Drosophila melanogaster: one gene and its partner. The gene in region 1 interacts genetically with each later gene. Each region holds a gene or a part of one and is shown in the gene's direction. Other genes may lie near its edges.

Region 1 (9,025 bases):
ATTGCTCTTTATCGCTTAAATCCAAAGGTCAGTCATTTATTGCTATTTGTTAAAATTATTTAAAACGAAATCAATTAAATTTTGGGAAATCCAAGACTATGCAATGTTCAACTTATTGAAGTTGGACCGTACTTGCGGAATGACCTTTCGGGTTCAGCTTGCGAGAGACTTGAAATGGCTGCTGAGCGACCGTCTTAATGGCAGCTCCGAATGTTGCTAATGTTAATTTAAGAAAATATTCCGACCCGGCCATCTGCGAGTGGATGTGTGTCTGTGTGTGTGTGTGCGTGTGTTGCCTGGAAACACTTGCGGTGCGGCAGCATTTGTGCATTATTATTTGCGGTCAAGTCTTTTGTGGCTTGGCCTTTTAGAATATCCAAACCCCTTTGAAGCCGCAGCAAATGGCAGTGCCAGCAGCGGACTAATTAAAGAAATATTCATTTCAAAATACTTGTAGCTCCGCCGGAAATTGCACACCCTCACACACATTGACACACCGCTTTGGCTTCTCAATATGTGTGTATATGCGTTAGTGTGTGTGTGGTTGTGTGACGTGCATGAGGCAATCAATTACGGCGAACCGTTTTGCCAAAAAAAGCGTGTTGCCTACTTTCCGGCGCCCGCGTGTTTGCCAACACAGCAGCACAATTAATTATGTACATTGGGGCCGCTTTTTCCCTTTTTCCCACCATCACTCCCACCATTTTCTCGCCCCTTTCCTTGCTGTTTGCCCAAGTCTGTGTTTGTGCACACAGAGGGAAAATAATTGGCCATATTATATTGTAATTGAGTCAGCCTTTATAGCAACAAAACATATATTAAATTTAAGTATGAAGGTTTAATTGCGATAATTGTTACTCATAAATAACTGCATACAATTGATTCAGTTATCTAAAATTTATTGGTGACATTGAATGGGGGAAATATTTTGCCAACCATGTACACTTATTTATGAAGGAAATCATAAAACTAAAAAAAAAAAGTACTACAGCTATTTTAAAATAAAAAAAAACAACATTTTTTTGTCCCTTAGATTTTTCAAATCATAAGTTATTAAAACTGTGGAAATATAAGATCGATTGGTATTAAATTTCTTGCACTGCACGACAAAATATCGCGGAGGATGAGAGTCATCCTTGAGCTTAGACGACAGCATATGCTCATGCATGCCTAATTACGATAAATCCTTGCCCTTGCCCGTTCTCACTTACCAACTTTCACCCCATCCTATGCCTTTCACATTCACTTTCGCTTTCCCTTTCCCGCTCTCACTTTCACTCTCGAGTCTCGAGAACAAGCGCGCCCAAATGAAGTAGGCAGAAACAAGAAGAACAACAGCAGCGCCACTTCACAAGGATCATTCGCGTGTGAGTGTGTGAGTTTGTGTTTGCCAGGACTCTTTGGATGTAAGAGTGTGTGTAGGCGTTCATAATTATGGCCGTATTTAGAGAAATTGGTTATTATGTGCTTAACGCCATTTGTCTGACTGGAAATAGTTTGTTTTCGGGGGCCCCCTGCTGTTGGACATATCTTTGTGGAGGTGTGCTTAGCCAGTTTCTTAATCCGGAACCACTTAGTAATTTTTATCTTTTAGTAACGTGTTGGAAGCAAAATAAATAATGAAATGGCTTTAAATATTCTTGAAAAGCTTAATGCCTAGAATATTTTTAATAGTTAAATTAAATTGTACCCTTAAAGCTTAAGCGTTTAAATATGTGTGTTTAACATTATACAGGAATTTTTCTGAGCGGAAAACGGTTGGAAAAATGTAGCATAAATTTACAGAATGTAAATTTCACACTAATTCAAGCTTAACAATTTGAATCAATTATTATTTCGCGGAAAGCTTTAATGTCAATATGCTTTAGTTTATAGAAAATATGCATCAATTAAAGAAAAATTAAGCAGTTCATAACGAGTTTAAACATATACAAGGGATTTCTCTGAAAGCGAATCCATTGGCAAAAAAGCTTAAATTCCTAGAAAATGGATTTTCCACAAATTAACTCTCCATAATTCAATTGAAATTTTAATCCCCCAGGAATTCAAGCTTAAGAATCAATTTCAATATTGGGTATATTTTTTTGACTCTCCTTTAAATTTATCAATTTAATACAGCTTATTGCAAGGAAAAGAGATAAGCTTGGTAGCTATTTTCTTTGTAAAACAAAATGGATTAGCTTACTTCAAAAGCCCTTGAACTAAGCTTATTTTCAGGGCCATAATCCCTGGCCGATTTCAATTAAACTTTGCTGTAAAATACCAATCAACTAGCAACTTTTGCGACCACCCTCTTAGTAAGTTGGACTTGGCTAATACTTGAAATTGTCTGCTAATTCGTAATTATTGCTACTTTACCATGTTGCTCCTGCGTTGACTGAATTGGCTGCCCTTTCTTGGGCAATTAGGACGAGGCGCTGGCTGGCAATGCCAAGTGTCCCCTGGTCGAGTGGCTTTCACTGGAGGTTCCGGATTCCCAGCATACGTGTCCATCAATAATGCGTCCTGGCTGCTGGCTCCTGGCTCGCATCGCCGCAGCCATGCCTTCCATTCGTCAATTGGCCATCCATCAGTTCTAATTAATCATGGCTCGGGCCTAATGAGTTGCTCTCAAATATGCTGGGAATGAATAGATGCCACTATTTCGGACGCTCCGCTAATGGAAATGGGTCTTAACTCGTGCTATACAATTGTCGCCGTTCCGATAGCCTTGTTGCAGTGTTCACAATGCAATGTCCGCAATACGCAATTTCAATTTCACGAGAACCAGCAACTGCGCACAAATCCAGCGGTGATTCTCATGCACATGGAAAATATACGAATCCTTAGTTAATTCTTGGAAAGCAGTTTGATAAATTAATTACTTTCAAAGGAACATCGTTAATTAATAATTTTCGTTATATCAGCATCGAATAGGAGGGGCACACACTTTAACTTTTTATTAGTGACATCAAAATATTATATTGATGAAGAGATGCTGTTCGAAACCTAATTATGTATGTTATATATATTCAAAAAATACATTTGGTTACCATTTTAGTAACTTTTTCTCAGCGTGTAATAGAGGATATAGCTGTGGCTATGGCGTTGTCAGTGGGACTGACCTAGAGTCCGTCAACAACTTGAGCTGCCTTGGCGAACGTGTTGACATCTTTGTTTTGGCCCGCTCATAATTCGCATTTTTTCGGTTTGTTTTTGTTTTGACTGCGGCTGCGGCTTTGTTTTAGCTCGCTATTTTTTCCGAAAATATATTAACGGCTAACCCGATTCATCAGCCTATTGACAAGATGTCATGTGGGACAAGCAAATGACCGAACAAAAGACCGAATGTCTGGCGAGGATGGCTAAATGCAGACCAATCATACTGCATGTGATGACGGAGAGGAATTTGGTATTTATAGAATAATAAGCGAAAAATAAGTAATATTAAAGAACTAAATGATTTAAGACAACATAGTAACAAATGTTGATCTTCTTAGGCATATTATTAATATATATTACGTAAACAAGTGCTTAGAAACAGAACTTAATAAATTAAGATGAAATAAATATTAATAATTCAATGACAAATCTTAAGCGTATATATTTTATTATGATGTCTAGAGTAAAAAACCTACCTATCTCTAAATCATTTGTCTTTCTGTTAACACTTTTAATTATGCTGAATTCTATAACTACATAAAACTCGCGCGATATTTGCTAAGACATCAATTTCCTTATTCTATATAAGTATCAATATTTCTATAAATATTTAAAAAAATTCGAAAATGAATCATTCTGCCAGATAAATGCGTGGGCGTCGATCTTTTCCTCAGCTTTTCTTTCCGCTGGACTAAAGAAAAGTGAAAATCTCACTCTAATAACTGCGAAATAAGCCAGAACAATAACAGGTAAGAATACGTATTGAACAATATATTGTCGCTCTTGGACTTTCTGCGCGACATTGTAAAAAGCGAGAGGAATTCTTACAGACAATTATGGTACATATATTATATTATATGTATATATGTATATAATTCTTGCACAGGTTCGTTGGGGTCGGGTGAAGCTGGGAAACAACAAAAGTGCTACGTGAAAGTGGGAAGAAGACGCAGAAATATTTGTGGCACTTTTGTTGTTGCCTCAGGTTATATTTATAAAATTTCACCTCAAGAACGGCTGATCATCAAGCGTTCGAGAGTCGAGCAGAGAAAAACATTCATTTTCATTTCTGGCACGCTCGCGAGTGGACGTGCGGACCGATACGCCGATAATAGCTATAGCCCAGTTCGATTCCCAACCACCTATATCCATATATATATATCTATTAAGTGTATATAGAGGGGTGCAAAGATCTACCCAAAGATCTTTCACCTGTCGCGCAGTGCGTGAGGGTGCGTCCAAAAGCACCAGTAATCGCGACGCGAGTGTTGGTTTGAGCCAAGGCGGTAATACATCGTACCTCAGTTTGAAAGTGAAGTCAGTGAAAGTCCTTGTGCCGCCAAGGCATGCGAATAAATTTGCAAAAGTTTCGCGAAGCATCAGGAAATAGAGGAAGCCAACGCAAGTGAGTCGAACGGGGTGGATACGTCCTGATTTTAAGCTCGTTTTTGGAAACGCATTCAAATGGAGATGAGCTCGACGCATTCAATGGCTGCTGATTATGTAAAAAAAAGAAGAGAGAAAACGGCGAAAGGCGTGAGAATCTCGGCGAGAGAAGGAGCTTGGGAAAATGTCACCTGGCTGAAAATTGCGCTTTCTCAACATCCCACCGTGTGCACACTCCCACATTCGTGAAAAGCTGTCAAAATTATTTTCATCTCCTTCGGCTTCGCGTTCAAAATTTATTAACAAATTTTGACATAATCATGTATACAAATATATGTTGATGAGGATCTGTTATACGCTATATTACGTGTGTGTGTGTGTGTGTGTGTGTGTGCATATCTCATCAGAAAGCATGGCAATAATTTGCCCACACTCACACACACAGGCACGCACACAGAGACGCACATTGCTCATACGCCGTGTTGCTGCCTTATTTTTAGTTCGATTCAATCAGCGACATTTTCAGAGATTTTCTATTTCCATTTCTGTTGTTTGTGTTTGTCTTTTGCCCGCTGCTCGCTTATCATTGATTGCTTTGTTTGCTTTTGTTTCGGTTTCGGTTTTGCTTTTGCTTGTTCCTTCTCCCATTCTCGCCATCCATTTGGAATGTTTGTGGTGGGCTTTCTCGTATTTATTTTTATATTCACACCTCTCACACAAAACAATTAATTTCTCGTTTCGAAATATAAAAATAAAAATAATACGGAAGATTAAGTGAGAGAGGCGTGTGCGGTTTAAATTTATGTGCCGCCGGAAAGTAGGCAACAGTTTTTTCCAGTTTTCCTTTTAGCTTTATTGCGAGCACTCGCCTCTTTTCAATTCACTTCATCTGCCCTCCAACCCCATCCCTCCTCCGCTCTTTTCGAGTGTGCTTCAGCTGGGCGGAAGTTCAAGGTCGCTGGCAGCATTAAAGAAGTGCCATTGCAGCACGCTGGCAATAGATATCCACCTAAACTAGTTTTGATTCGAATTTACTGGCCACTTTTGCAACTTAAATTAAAAACTGCTCGAAAGTAGCGCGTTGGCAACTTTAAAGTAAATGTATTGCTTATGATTTCTTAGTGTTGTCTCATTTTCTTTATCCATTCATTTAAAGGTATTTTAAAAACTACATAAAGTTGTACACCTTTTTGTTGAAAAGTTTTTGTTTCAACAGACAAATAGCATTTATATTACCAAAATCTAATATGGAAAAATATTCCAAATGTTTCCGAGCTATTGAAGTTTTTAAGTCACTTGTTTTAAGTCAACTTGTTGGTTGCTGAAATCTGTATTATGTTTAAATATTGCTATATTCAAAAGCTTAGTGATTGCAAATAAAACCAATCTGCAATAATACTAAAAACGAAATCATCATAAAATGTATGAATTGATGTATAATTTTTCATGCCACATTTTACTGTATCATTTTAGTAACGCAATGAAGCTCCGAATTGTGCTCATTAAAGAAAATTAATTATAAGGGATATCAATGCAATTGTGTGAACAATTAATTTCTATTAAATTCCCTTTACGCGTTCGATGCTCAAAAGACCGCCGATGTAATCATGTTATTATAGTTTCGGAAATTGGTTTTCCATTGTTTAATTGTTTCCTTTGGTCGAAAGGAACTCGGCCACGGCAAGTTAATTAAAAAGATCTACCTTCGCAGCCATATGCTCGACCCCAGCTGATTATTCATTAACCTGGTCAAGAGTGTGTGGCCCACCGAGGAGCTTATCTGTCGCAGTGCACAATAAGCGAACCTTAAGCGCATTCCGAACTTCATTATCTTCGACTGTCAACCGCGCCCAATCGAATCCCATTCAATACTATCCAATCCCATCCAATCCCATGCCATCCAATGAATTCCAACTTTCACCACCCGCCTTCATCATTGTTTTGCGTGCCGCAGCCTTTGAGGCCGTATAATTAAGTTGGCATGATGCGGCTTATGCGCAGCGTGTTAATGGCCAGGTAAATGGCTACTCGACCCTCACTCCCCACAATTCACTCACAATTGCCTTTGGCTCTAAATTTAATATATTTTCTTTTTAATTTCAGCCAGCAGAGTTAACAGCCAAAGGAACAGGCCCCTTTCAAGGGCGCCTCGGATACCCAAGTAGACAATAAGAAGAAAACAACACTTGGAAACGTAAGTTATCACCGCTGAAATTGGAACGTCACAATACTTTGTAGTTTCTATAGTATTCCTTTGGGAGTGCAGCTAAAATTTCAAAAAGTTTCGATTGCATCTGCTTCTCCCGTCTGCTCCGTTTATTTATAGCCCAAAAATACAGTGCAGTTTTCATTTCTTTATTTGTTTTTCTTTTTGGCCTAGGAGTGCAGACTGCAGTCTGTGAATTCCGGGCTAGTGAGTTCTATTTTCGGCATATTCCCATAGGGAGATAGAATGATATATACAGAGCTAGAGGAGCGAAGTTCTGACCTTGAGAAGCATGCACAGAAAAAAAAACTGCGAAACTGGATAGAATTATTTTGGTAAAAGTAACAAATGTTTGTGTAGGGAACTTAACCTACTTACTTACCGAATGCAATTATATGTAGTTAATAGATACAGATAGATATTTTGAACATGTTTGAGAAAAAGCTTAATTGTAACTTTTAGGGACAACTTTTTGAATGGAATATGAAATTTTAGTTCGTATTGCAGCAAACTAATGGTTTACTGCTACTTAAGTTAAGGGAAAACTTCTAATGGAAGTAGAAACTTTTCACTTGGCACAGAGAAATGTTCCACTAGTTTGACGGAACAGCGAATTCGAGCGATGTTCGCTCCAATTTTCAATGAAATTTATTTTTAGGGCCCGTTACAGCGAGATACACAAAAGCACACAAATAGCCCAGCAATGAGATATAGATGGAAAATGCCGGCGTGCGTCCGAATGAGAAAATCAGCTCAGTTGATGACGTCAAGAGTGTGCGTGCATGTATTCGTACTAAATGGAGGAAAATCTTTTCGGTTAATCCAATAAGTAGCCGATGTCCAGGTTCGAGGCGAGAAATGGGAACTCCATTTGGAAGTAACATGCAGTGCGAAGTACTCATTTGTATCTTTGTATCTTATTAATGGCGCTGCAGCCAAACTGTAGATAAAGATACATACGCACGATGCCAAGAATATATTTTTGCGTTTGTGTCTGACGATCGCGCATTTTGTTTTGTTTCGCTCTCTGGCGATATATAGACGGTATATATCTGCAGATACACAGCGAAATCGGGAGAGAATGCCGCGGATTGTATATATATTTAAAATATTGTAGACTGTTGCTCAGCTCGTGTGCTTGGCAATTTTCACTTGCCATCAGTCGCTTTTTACATTTCCAATCGAATTCTACTAGGCGTGTTGCCCAGCAAAAACTGAAAAAAAATATAAGAAAAAAATCTAAACGACACCGTACCGAATTAGATATATTGAAATTAAAGTAAGGCGAACGGAAATCGATTGTACTCATTAAATGAAAGTGCCCAAAAACGAGTTGAAAAGGACTGAATTATAAGGATTCTCGCATTGCCAAAACCAATTGCATTTTATGATTGCCTTCGAGTGCCGCTTTGACAGCAACAGCAAGGATTGCCAAATAGTTTCCCATTTCAATTGGTAAGTTGGTGAGGTTTCTATGTATTTCAATTTTTTTTTTTTTTGGTTGGTGATTTCTGCTCAGTTTTGGCTGACCCAAATTTCATCGAATTCATTTCAATTTAGTTGTGTTGATTTCAATTTTCAGTGCTTTGCGTTGATGATTTTCTGTCACCAACTGTCAGCAGCGCGAAAAGTTTGACCCATTTTAGTTTTTCACATTTGGCAAAAAACTCTCCCAGGGTCAAGTGATTCGTTTCCGTTTCCCGTTCGCCATTTACTGTTTCCTGCCGCATAACTCGACTTAATTTTAACCCCCGCCAAGGTTAATGATTTTCTCGTGCTCTTTTTTCTGTAAACAAAACATTGAACAACTGTCGCCGTCAATTTGGCGTTTGAATGAAAGCAAAGAGCCGTGGGGAAATTCAAAGGAAACCAGAAAACACAGATTTCAGCTTCAAGAGCATTTAACATTTTCACGGATAATTGGTTTGGTATTTCTGAAAATCGCTCACACAGCCCGCGAATGCATTCACCACTATATATACACATAAATATGTATGCGTATAAGTGTATATATGTATTAACGGACCCAGCTGAATGACCTACCCACCCTTTAAATGAAAATGTAAAACGGGGTGGTTGGATTTTGGTAGTTATGCCGCCTTCTGGTGGCTTTCATTATGCTGGCGAGCAGCGTTCGCTATTCATTTTAATCCTTTCAGCAGCGATTCACAAATGCAATGGCTAAATTAGTTTCGCCACACACACACACACACACACACACAGTGCACTTCGCTCGAAACCAGAAAAAGGACCTACACTTTCTAATAGGACCACCAGTTTTGCCTTTATTTA
Region 2 (11,688 bases), on another chromosome or scaffold:
AGTTAAAAATATTTGTTGTTCGTATTGCTGTGCTAAAACCTCCTATCAATATTCGGTGGCATAGCTGTTTATATTTTCGGCCGTCTTTATTTAAATGATTCGACATACATAATTAGCATGTATTATTAAGCAGCGGCAAAATTACCTTGACATTGAGAGATTATTTGTGTGTGCGTGTAAATGTTCTGCGAACGGGGCTCCATGTGCCATCTCTCTCGCTCTCGCTTCGAAGGCCAAGTTGTAAATACAAGCGCACAATTAGGTATAATATTTTATAGGGCTACTGTTTTTGTTGATGTTATTGTGGAAAAACCGAGTGCGAATGACCTTGCCAATAGACACCTGCCTCGATAGCAGCATATTATCGATAACGAGAAAGGCCGGAACCTCTATCTCAAGATCGTCGACTTCGAGCGGGGTGGAGCGGAGCTCTGATAAAAAATGTTTTATATAGACTCTACGTTCTTTAAATTATTACAAAAATGTGAAAGAAAAAAGTAAAGAGCATGCTTATTTTCTTGATAAGGAAAGCTGAACAAATAAATTTCTTATAAATTTTACTGCTAATTCCATACAAATTTGGTAAAAAGTCGTTGTTTTTATTAGAAATACTATTACAAATAAAATTCAGAAGATTCGTAAGTGCATCATACTTATGTATGTTCAACTTTTCGCTCAACTTTCAACGCTCCTCTGGTAACGTTAATTGGACCCAAATATATTGAGTTTTAAAAATCCTCTTTTTACTTAAGGAAAATTCTTATATTATATATATATATATATATATATATATATATATATATATATATATATATATATATACTTGCAGCTCCAACAAAATTCCGTCTTCATTCAATGCGAAACTGGAGCTAGACTCCAGCAAAGACGACACCATTCACTCCACAAGCTTGAACAAGAAGCTGGTCAAGATTAAAAAGTTCAAGTTGGACGATATGAAGGAGATGGTGGGCGGCTGTTGCGTTTGTTCAGACGAGCGGGGGTGGCCGGAGAACCCGCTCGTCTACTGTGACGGCCAGAACTGTACTGTGGCAGTGCACCAGGCGTGCTATGGCATTGTGACGGTTCCCACTGGACCCTGGTACTGTCGCAAGTGCGAGTCCCAGGAGCGAACCTCTCGCGTCCGATGCGAACTATGTCCCTCGCGGGATGGCGCCCTTAAGAAGACGGATAATAGCGGGTGGGCGCACGTTGTTTGCGCCCTGTACATCCCAGAGGTGCGATTTGGGAATGTGACCACCATGGAGCCCATCATATTGTCATTAATACCGCAGGAGCGGTACTCGAAGAGTAAGCTATGTTTAAATGTTTTATATTTACATATATTATTTAAAAAATGTTACTCATTGAAAAATTATAACCCCTGTTTGTTAAACTAGCCTTAGCTAAATGGCAATAATTAATTACAATCCGTTTCCATTTTCAGCTTGCTATATTTGCCAGGAAATTGGCAAACCAAATCGTGCCAATGTTGGCGCCTGTATGCAGTGCAACAAATCGAATTGCAAGCAGCAGTTCCACGTCACCTGCGCCCAGAGCCTTGGATTGCTCTGCGAGGAGGCTGGTAACTATCTGGATAATGTGAAGTACTGCGGCTACTGTCAGCACCATTACAGCAAACTGGTGCGTATGTGAGGGATAGCATTCGTGATTTTTCCGTTCAAATTCTTGATACTTTGCAGAAAAAGGGCGGCAACGTCAAAACAATACCTCCATATAAACCCATTCAACATGACACCTCTTCCGATTCGTGTTCGTCGCCCGAGAAGGAGATCGATTCAACCATGAACTCCGCGACAACTTCGGCCACAATCATAAAGATTACCAGCAGCAGTGGCAGTGCTGGTGGCAGCAGCAATGTTTTGAATGCAAGCTCCAGTGCTGGAATCTCTGCTGGAAGCAGCAGTGGGAGTGGCGTATCATCTTCCGCAAAGCAGCGCAAGAGCAATGCATCAAGTAAATCATCTAGCAGCAGTAGCAGTAGCTCGTCATCCTCAACAGGAGGGGCTCCCAACCCCTCCTCGAGTTCTGTGCATTCGGGAAGTGCTAGCAATATGACAGGAGGAGGAAGTGTACTACCAGGGAGTAGCAACATCGGCAACATTAGCAATAGTTTAAACAATAATCTGCCCGGAGGCAGTTCGTCCACCAGCAGTGCTGGAAACGTGCCTGGTGGAAGTGGGGGAATTATATCAGCTTCGAGCGGTGGTGCTACGCAATCGACAAGCAGTCAATCGTCAACAGCACCAGGAACCACCAAATCATCGGCCAGCAGTTCGAGCAGTAGTAGCAACAGCTACAAGGAGAAACATAGCAAAAGCTTAAGCAAATCCACATCCAGCAAGGACAAGGATGGAAAAGATAGCTCTACCAATTCAGCGAATAACAATTTCACAAATTCATCTGCATCATCAACATCTTCCAACTCCTCGTCGACACGAGAGAAATCCTCATCAAAGCTTTCTAAGAACAAAGACTCCAATCAAGTACCCAGTGCCACCAGCAGCTTAAGCACAACGAGCAGTATCAACACCCAGCCCAGTTCGTCGACTTCAACTGCTACAGCTGGATCGGGCGGTACTGGGACTCATGTGAGCAGTTCGGCTGCCAGTGGACTTAACTCAGCTCCTTCCACAACCAATGAGCATTCAAATCATGCCCACACCCTTAGCACAAATGGAACCGGAGCCGGAAGCGCAGCCGGAAAGTTGCAATCAGTCAGTAATCTGAGCAACAGTAGTTCTGGTTTTGGATCGGATCTGCGATCAGTCAGCACATCCTCAAGCTCCACTGTGAACGACTCCACCGGAGGATTCGGTAGTAATTCGAATTCAGAAAGGGAGAATTTGTCAGGCGCTGGATCGTCGGCAAGCAACATGCCTGGAACAATAGCTCCTGGTACTGGTGGCGTATCTTCCAGTGCGGCCACTAATCTAAGCACCAATAAGGGAGGCTCTTCGTCATCGACGGCGAATAGCCTTACATCTACGAGCACTTCCTCAGGCAGCTCCTCTAACTCGTCATCGAAAAAACGAAAAGCGGATTCTGCTAAGTCCACTAGCAGTATTTCCACCTCTGGCTCCGCTCTGGAGGATAACAATAGGTGGGGAACGAGAAACGCAAAGAAAAGGTCTTTTACAATTTACATTTTTCAAAATTTGGTAGTTACTTAGTTTACGCCTGATTTTAAAGAAACAAATGGGACTGTGTTGCACATCTATGATTTGCAAAATTGTTAATTTATCGAACACCCGGTGTAGACAACTCTTTTATTTTGTTATTCTAAATAAATTGTAATAATTAGAACATAATGTATATTAAACAGTGCCCAATGTTACTGAGAAACCAGACTTTTTAAATATGTTTTTGTAATTTCATTGAAAAAGGCAACTTTTGGAATCCGTTTCGTTTATTAGAGAATATACTAATACTAAAATAACCCCGTATAAGACCTTTTTCTACTGAAACAATGTATAGAAAAAATCACACTAATATATTTTTCGGTTGTTTCTGTAGCTTAATATCCCGCTATGATATCAAAGATGTTCAAGTTGCACTGACGCCTCTAACAGATTTTGAGAAGGAAATCGAGAAGAGCTCCAAGAGGGTAAGTTGATTTTTTCTTTGTTTATCTTTTAGCATACTATTAATAGAATGATAAACAACTCAGTTATCGTTCCGAAATATTGAGTTAATATAAGCTTTTTTACTTTTAAGGAAACTTGTTTCGGATCTCTTGAGTGATTTTTGCGAAACATTCTCTTAAAGTGTTTTCTCTCTTTTTGGATACAATGTTGCTATATTAATGATGGTTCCCATTATCTTTTACACTTGTATACAACTTGTCATTTAGTTTTTCTCTGATCAAACCTAAAGAGTGGGACAGAGAGTACTACTATATTCGTTTCACTCGCCAAAAGTTTTGAACGCAGGCGCCTTGCCAATTTTTGTATCATACTTATAAGTGGAAATGCAATTGCAAATGCATGTTAAAAATGTTTTGAGAAATTCTGCCGAAGGTGCGCGTTAATTATACAAAAGGTGTTGCCCACCCGTTCTTGTCTTTAAGAAATTCCGTGTTTTTCAATGCTACCCCTTGAACTTCGGAATTTTCGATCGATCCATTTTTTAAAATGGTGTGTGTTTCGATCGAAATACTGTAATAAATCAAATATTAAATTAGTTTGTTATAAATTTGAGAAACTTACTACTACTACTTTGATTTCAAAACTAAAATAATCGGTAAAATCATACCATTAGAACTAATATCAAAATGAAATCATTCTTAGTAATGATATTAAGAGGTATTTTCTGGCCGAGTTGGCCCCCGCCATGTCTGGTTCTATTTTGCCGATCTGATTGATGCTCAATGATGTACCCATGCCCCATTAATTTCCTTTTGAACCAAAAATGCATGGCAAAATATCGAATTTTAATTAAATGCAAATGCGCATGTTAATTTATTGATGTTGAAGTGCCAATGTTCCGAAAGGCAGGCAGGCAGTGGCTTTGAACAAGACAGTTGAACCATGTTGTTGGTCCAATAAAATACCAACATCATCTTTTTCGCCTTGTCATGAGCACGATCACCTGGAATATTCTGCTATAAAATGACCGTATATACAATTTATGAAAGCACATTTTTCTTGTATACTAGCATATTGTATATGTGAGAGCAGATATTTTGTGATTTGTTGGGATTCTTGTTCGGATGGCTAATGTATTTATTGTTGGGGCTATATAGTCATCCCTATCATTTTCTCTGGCGACAAAGTTGCCTTCGTGCCGTGTGCAGACAAAGACTGAAAGCGCTTGACAAATTTTTCAGCGCGATCAGTCGAAAATCGTTGTTAATCGAAGCTAAACTAAAATTAAGGATATTTCTCTTGCGAACCTTTTTATTACGAACGAAAAGTAAATATCAGTTTTTGTCAATGGAAAACGAAAACCAAAACCAAAACCAATCACGCATAACCCAGTAAATTCCAATATTTTGTGTTGTGCTTGTCTAAAAAATATCGGTTCAAGCTCTGCTACAAACCAAACGCGAAGCGATGAAAATACAGTTTTGTCAAGCGATCGTTTAAATTTAGAACTTGTGCGTAATTTGGACCATAATTTGACCCACAAATGAGAGGAGGAATGTATGGCTCCACACAGGAAGCATTTTTCCCACACACTATTATTAATAGATTCCGTTTTTTCGAGTGTGAAAAAACTTTACGGAAACTGTCTCACTCAATAAAATGAGAACTATTTGCGAGGAGTTTTTTTTTCAATCGAGTTTTATTCAAGTACAAATCGATCATCTTTTCATCAGATCAAATCGAATAGTCACTATCCTTGAATAGAGAAAAATTAAAGATACAGTCCTTACTCGACGTAAAAAACACGTACATTTTGATGAGTTTTATAATCTTATTGCATGCAAAAAGTATTATATTTAGTCGGGAATATAAACAAACTCCCAGATGCCTGAGGTTTCCAATGATATGCAACTTTTCGATCATCTTTGATAATCTCCCACTGGGATAAATGTGCATATAATATACACAAAAGTTAGCAAACATCCAAGAATGAGATACGGTCAAGAAAAAACGAGTGAAGGATATGGAATAAAAAACTTTTTCGAAGAATCGAAAAAGTTTAAAAACCGCAGATGCATACCAATATGTTTCCATCCCACTCTCTGGCGTTATTTGATGAAAACTGAAATAAAACGAAGGAAAACTGCTCCGTGTTGCCGCATCTTAAGTTTCTCAACTCGGTGTGCTGAGCAGGAAAACTCAGTGGCAGCGGCGAAAAGTCGACCGCGTTGCCGTGCCGTGTGCACTCACAATTATATAGACTAGTTTGCTTTGAGCAATCTTCCAGTTCAGTACTCGGCGCTTCCGTGTGTGGTTTTAGTGCGTTGTAGGTTCCGTTCTATCTTGGCTATAATACACTCACACCCAACGGTTGGATATCGCCAGCTCTTAACCGATTTTTTTGCACGCAGCAAAAGACCATTGCAAAGCACCTGACTAATCCATCGCAACCGCTAGATAACCAGATTACCGGCCAGGGACGATGCTCATCTGATGGTGGTGCTTTAGCTCTGACTCAGTTTTAGAACACCCAGATATGTACATATATATATCTGCCACAGTTATTTTTTGTGTGTGCTTTTCCCAAATCTATCTACCTGTCTGCGTTATTTTTATACAACATTTTCTGTATAGATAGATACACATTTATTGCTCATGTTTTTCTCTGTGTTCTGTGATTTGAAAAATTCCTCCTTTATTTTTTGTTGTCATGAGAAAGATGTTATTTTCTGATCATTAACATAGGAATCTTCAATATGAATTACGTATACATACGTCCGGTTGGGTAATTTTCTGGCACGGGCGATGACGTCTCGACTGACAGATAAGAATCTTGATAGATGATCTACATAATGCAAATTGAGGAGAAATTCGCGACTGTCAAGTTGAATTTGTAATAGTTCATTGTAAACTTAAGATAAAACAAGCGTCTTAATCGTCCAAATAGGTTAACATGTAGATTAGCTTGAATTAACTAGTTGGGCTTAGAATAATTTGGAAACCATTTAACATACAAAAATGACAGATGCTTACCTCATCGCTTTCATCGCCACCAAAGCTTCCACTCTGCTGCATTTCCCAGCAGGACTTACGCCACGATCCCATCGACTCTATGTGTTCTTCTATTTTGCTATTTCAGATAATAAACTTAATAAGTAAAGTAATTGTACTCGCGTAGATCATTTTGATAGCGTTAAAAAAACCGAAACACAGACAGAATGCCTTCCTTCCAACCGATCGAGGCCCCCAAGTGTCCGCGCTGCGGCAAGAGTGTCTACGCTGCCGAAGAGCGTCTGGCTGGCGGCTATGTATTCCACAAGAACTGCTTCAAGTGCGGAATGTGCAACAAATCCCTGGACTCCACCAACTGCACAGAGCACGAGCGCGAGCTCTACTGCAAGACGTGCCACGGTCGCAAGTTCGGGCCGAAAGGTTACGGCTTCGGCACTGGAGCTGGCACCCTCTCCATGGACAACGGGTCACAGTTCCTGCGCGAGAACGGCGATGTGCCGTCCGTAAGGAATGGAGCCCGCCTGGAACCCAGGGCTATTGCTCGTGCCCCCGAAGGTGAGGGCTGTCCTCGTTGCGGTGGCTATGTGTACGCCGCCGAACAGATGTTAGCCCGCGGTCGCAGCTGGCACAAGGAGTGCTTCAAGTGCGGTACCTGCAAGAAGGGTCTGGACTCGATCCTGTGCTGCGAGGCTCCGGACAAGAACATCTACTGCAAGGGCTGCTATGCCAAGAAGTTTGGACCCAAGGGCTATGGTTATGGCCAGGGCGGTGGTGCTCTCCAGTCCGACTGCTATGCTCACGACGACGGAGCACCGCAAATCCGTGCCGCCATTGATGTGGACAAGATCCAGGCCCGTCCGGGTGAGGGTTGCCCACGTTGCGGCGGTGTGGTCTACGCAGCGGAGCAGAAGCTTTCCAAGGGTCGGGAGTGGCACAAGAAGTGCTTCAACTGCAAGGATTGCCACAAGACTCTGGACTCGATCAATGCCAGTGATGGTCCCGATCGTGATGTGTACTGCCGCACCTGCTACGGCAAGAAGTGGGGACCACATGGCTATGGATTCGCATGCGGCTCTGGTTTCCTGCAGACCGATGGCTTGACCGAGGATCAGATCAGCGCCAACAGGCCCTTCTATAACCCGGACACCACGTCAATTAAGGCCCGTGACGGCGAAGGCTGTCCCCGGTGCGGAGGAGCCGTATTCGCCGCCGAGCAACAGCTGTCCAAGGGCAAGGTGTGGCACAAGAAGTGCTACAACTGCGCCGACTGCCACCGGCCATTGGACTCGGTCCTGGCCTGCGATGGACCCGATGGCGACATCCACTGCCGCGCCTGCTACGGCAAGCTCTTCGGCCCCAAGGGCTTTGGTTACGGCCACGCCCCCACTCTAGTGTCAACCAGTGGCGAGAGCACCATCCAGTTCCCAGATGGCCGTCCTCTGGCCGGACCCAAGACTTCGGGCGGCTGCCCGCGTTGCGGTTTCGCCGTGTTCGCCGCCGAGCAGATGATCAGCAAGACCAGGATCTGGCACAAGAGGTGCTTCTACTGCTCGGATTGCCGCAAATCGCTGGACTCGACCAACCTGAACGATGGACCCGACGGCGATATCTACTGCCGAGCCTGCTACGGCCGCAATTTTGGACCCAAGGGAGTGGGCTACGGTCTGGGCGCGGGCGCTTTGACAACGTTCTAAACGAGCCTATTTTATGTATATCCAATCGAAACCCACATCCATGTCTGTGAACCGTTCCGATGCATCTGTCTAATGACCAATCTGTTTTAACTAACTATCCCTGAAATTAGCTAACTTAGTCTTCGTTTTGCTTCCAACGATTTTTGATCAACGATGCACTGAATGCAATTCAATTTTCTTTAGGTTATGTGAGATTAAGTTTAATATGAAAACAAGAAAAAAAGAATAAATGCCAAAAACATAAAACTTACGACTCAAAGCGAAACTAACCATCGAACACAGACTAACGAACTAAACGACATTGACCACATCGAGAAAAGCAAAACTTTCTGCAGGTGAAACTGCTGCGAGCCAAAGTCGTTATTACTTTTTTGTATCTTAAACTATTTATTTTCGAAGACCAGCCAAGTATGTCTTATGCTCCAAATCGAATTACCCAAAAGCATACTTTGTGCAAATGGAAAAATTTTATACACATAAATATACTCTTACGACGAACAATGATGAAAGATATGATGTTGTATATTTAGCTGATTTAGTTCTTACGATATACTTATGAAATCTGATTATTTATAATGATGTTTGAATGATTTCTCACCCATCTAATCTCTTGCATTCTGTTTGGGATGCCAGCCATGGCAGATATAAAATATTTATTTATATATATATACATCAGCGTACATGTTCTGCATACACACACACACACACATAACATCCAATAATATATGCCCCAGTGGGTTCCATGAAAACAAAATGATTTCGAAATGGTTTTCGTAGTTTTAATTGATTTAATTGGGTGTGCATACCTGAGATTTCTGCATCTAAATGGTTGGTTGGCAATCTGATTGGAATGACCGGTGGGTGGTTGGGTTGAGTTCAATTCCGTTTGTTTCGGGATCGTTCGGTTCGGATTGAGCCAGCTCATCTGGTCTATATATAGCTTGTTCGGCCGACAAACATCGTGAAAAATAATTGCTCAACATACGCACAAAGAACGTTCCCTACATATACGTACAGGAATAAATCCTTGGTTGTGTGTGTGTGTGGCCTCTCGAGAAAAACATCGAAATGTTCCATAACCGTACTGAAATGGTTTTCTAAATATAAATATGATGCCAATATGCCTCACACAGCTGACCCGAAAGCTTTTCACAGCACTCAAAACTCTCACTCAAGAGAAGAACTTAAGAGATTGTATTTATTCGCATATATACTTGTGAGGAATCCCTAGTTATATTATAATAATTATAACACGTGCCTGCTGAGAATGTTGTGTAATAAATGCTTTACTCACCCACCCACCTAGAGCAAAGTTCTTATTGCTAATGCACTTTTAGGATCACCCCCCACCCGAAATAACCCCTTGGGAACAAAATTTTAATGATTCCGTCCCACGCCCACTTGCGCGCATTATTCACATTTCTATTCATTTTATTCGACATCCTATAGGTATGGTATGGTTTTATGCTCCGTGACGTTGACCACGAAAATACGTTGCCAAGGGGTTGGCCAAACTAAATAAATTATTTTTTGTTTTAATATAATTTTTTTTTGTTTCAGACACAAATATCAAATAAATCGCCTTCAGCCAGGTGTGTTTACGTTAGTTTTGGTATCGCATTGGCGAGAATATTTATAGACTTACCGAGTCAGCGTCTATTTTCGAGTGATTTTGGTTTTGAAATTGTTTCGCATATGACACACGGCACTTCAAAAACACCCGAATTGACGAGCCACAACAGTGAGAATATTTTTTGCGGACTGCGCCGCTGATGTTGATCTCTAAATATACTTGGAGATGTATTCTACTCGTATTCGATATGGCTTTTCTAGTATGTTATTAATGTTCAATTTCTGGCTTTGAATGGCGCGAATAGATTTATGCCTTGCTGAAGTCCGCGACTATTTGTATAACGGATCGAACATGATAATGGCTAAGATAGAGAACATGTGGTTGTGCTGATTTTTTTTCGATTTGCGGAAGACGAGTGCAAGGTTTTCCAGTGGGGATTTGTGTTTACCCACCGACCGCTTTGAGATGTTACAGAAAAGGCGATTGATTGATTAGATCAGGAAATGACACATTCGAAATGACACAATGTGCAATCAAATGTGCATGATATCAATTGCCTTACGTGACTAGCGTGCATTTAATGGCCAACTTATTGATTTCACATTACAAAGTAAAATGTCCCAGTGTGTTGGTTGGTTTTGGCGGGGGTTAAAATGGAACCGCATCGAATCGGAACCGTTTGGCCACAGACTGACAGTTTTCAGCGGCTCACTGCTGCGCTCATTTTGGCCACCAATTGTGAGGACCAAATTGCAAACTACCGCCGGGAACTGTGGGGGGTGTGGCCTGAGAACCAAAAAATCAGGAAGCGGAAGGACCTCAAGCGGGTGGCTCGGGTGCCATGTCCTTCGATAGCGATAGTAGTGGTGCACAGTTTAAAAATCCACCCGCAAACGGGCAGGGTGATAATTCATAATTTGTGTTCCTCTTGACTGTGTCGATTATGAGCGGTTGTCAAATGTCAGGGGAAAATAACTGAGAATTACATGTGCTGACTGACTATTGGGTGTACTTGCAACAAAACTACTTTTTATGACACCCTCACTCGGCTGAGGGTTTGTTTTTTTTATGATCTTGTCTCCGAAAGTCAGTCGCTCGGCGTGAATTTCACTTGGCCAGTTCCTCTTAAATGACCATGAAACTCGCTTCGACAAATACCTTTTGGCGTGGCAATTAATTTATTTCACTTCCCTGAAATGTCAGGTCACCCGAGCAACAACAACACCATGTTTGGGTGTGGGTGGGTCGTTGAGTTTTTATCGAATCTCCGGGTCGCGTGTTGCCTGAATTTGACAAATTCCCGTTAGCGACACGCGTCGCTATATTATTCCTGTTTTTGGACCTTTTGTGAATGCCTTTAGTTGTGTCTTGTGGTACAGTTACCGTGCTGTTGTTGCTAATAAAAAAAATGGATATGTGGGTAGTTTGGTCCTTGACCAAACCTTACCTCAAAGACTTGGCTTGTCTAAATTTTAATATAATAGTTGGGATAGCAAATTTAGCATCTTTGTCATAAATAATGCCAACCTATTGTTATATTTTCACTGGGATGTGAATAAATATCAACCTGATTCATATTTTGTGCATGTTTTCAACCCCAAAATAAAACTCCCACGACCTGGTAGCACTGGCTGAACTAAACCTCTGAACTGACACTTGTGTAAATATTTCAGAGTGACATTTTTGTTTTAATATGATTTTTGGCAGGCCTGAGCTGCTTACCCTCCTTTCGTTTGATGATCAATAGTGCGTCCTTAATGGGTTTGTTCAGTGGCGTGTGCAAAGTTAAAAACGTTGCCTGCAG

Evidence for each region.
Region 2: of tn (region 1) and Mlp84B, changing one suppresses a phenotype caused by changing the other (phenotypic suppression), as found in Drosophila melanogaster (one study listed by BioGRID).

What each region holds. Positions count from the first base shown.
Region 1 is NT_033778.4:18,983,146-18,992,170, forward strand, and holds the start of tn (thin), read left to right. Parts: upstream 1-4,198; 5' UTR 4,199-4,546; intron 4,547-6,238; exon of another isoform or gene 6,239-6,543; intron 6,544-6,630; 5' UTR 6,631-6,721; intron 6,722-7,891; exon of another isoform or gene 7,892-8,188; intron 8,189-9,025.
Region 2 is NT_033777.3:7,110,895-7,122,582, reverse strand, and holds Mlp84B (muscle LIM protein at 84B), read left to right. Parts: upstream 1-4,850; 5' UTR 4,851-4,932; intron 4,933-5,866; exon of another isoform or gene 5,867-5,931; intron 5,932-6,744; 5' UTR 6,745-6,823; coding exon 6,824-8,311; 3' UTR 8,312-9,733; downstream 9,734-11,688. Other genes in the region: Alh (alhambra), read left to right, coding at 830-1,308, 1,445-1,641, 1,701-3,121, 3,535-3,625. UniProt on the Drosophila melanogaster protein: Plays a role in cell differentiation late in myogenesis. Transcription factor Mef2 is essential for expression.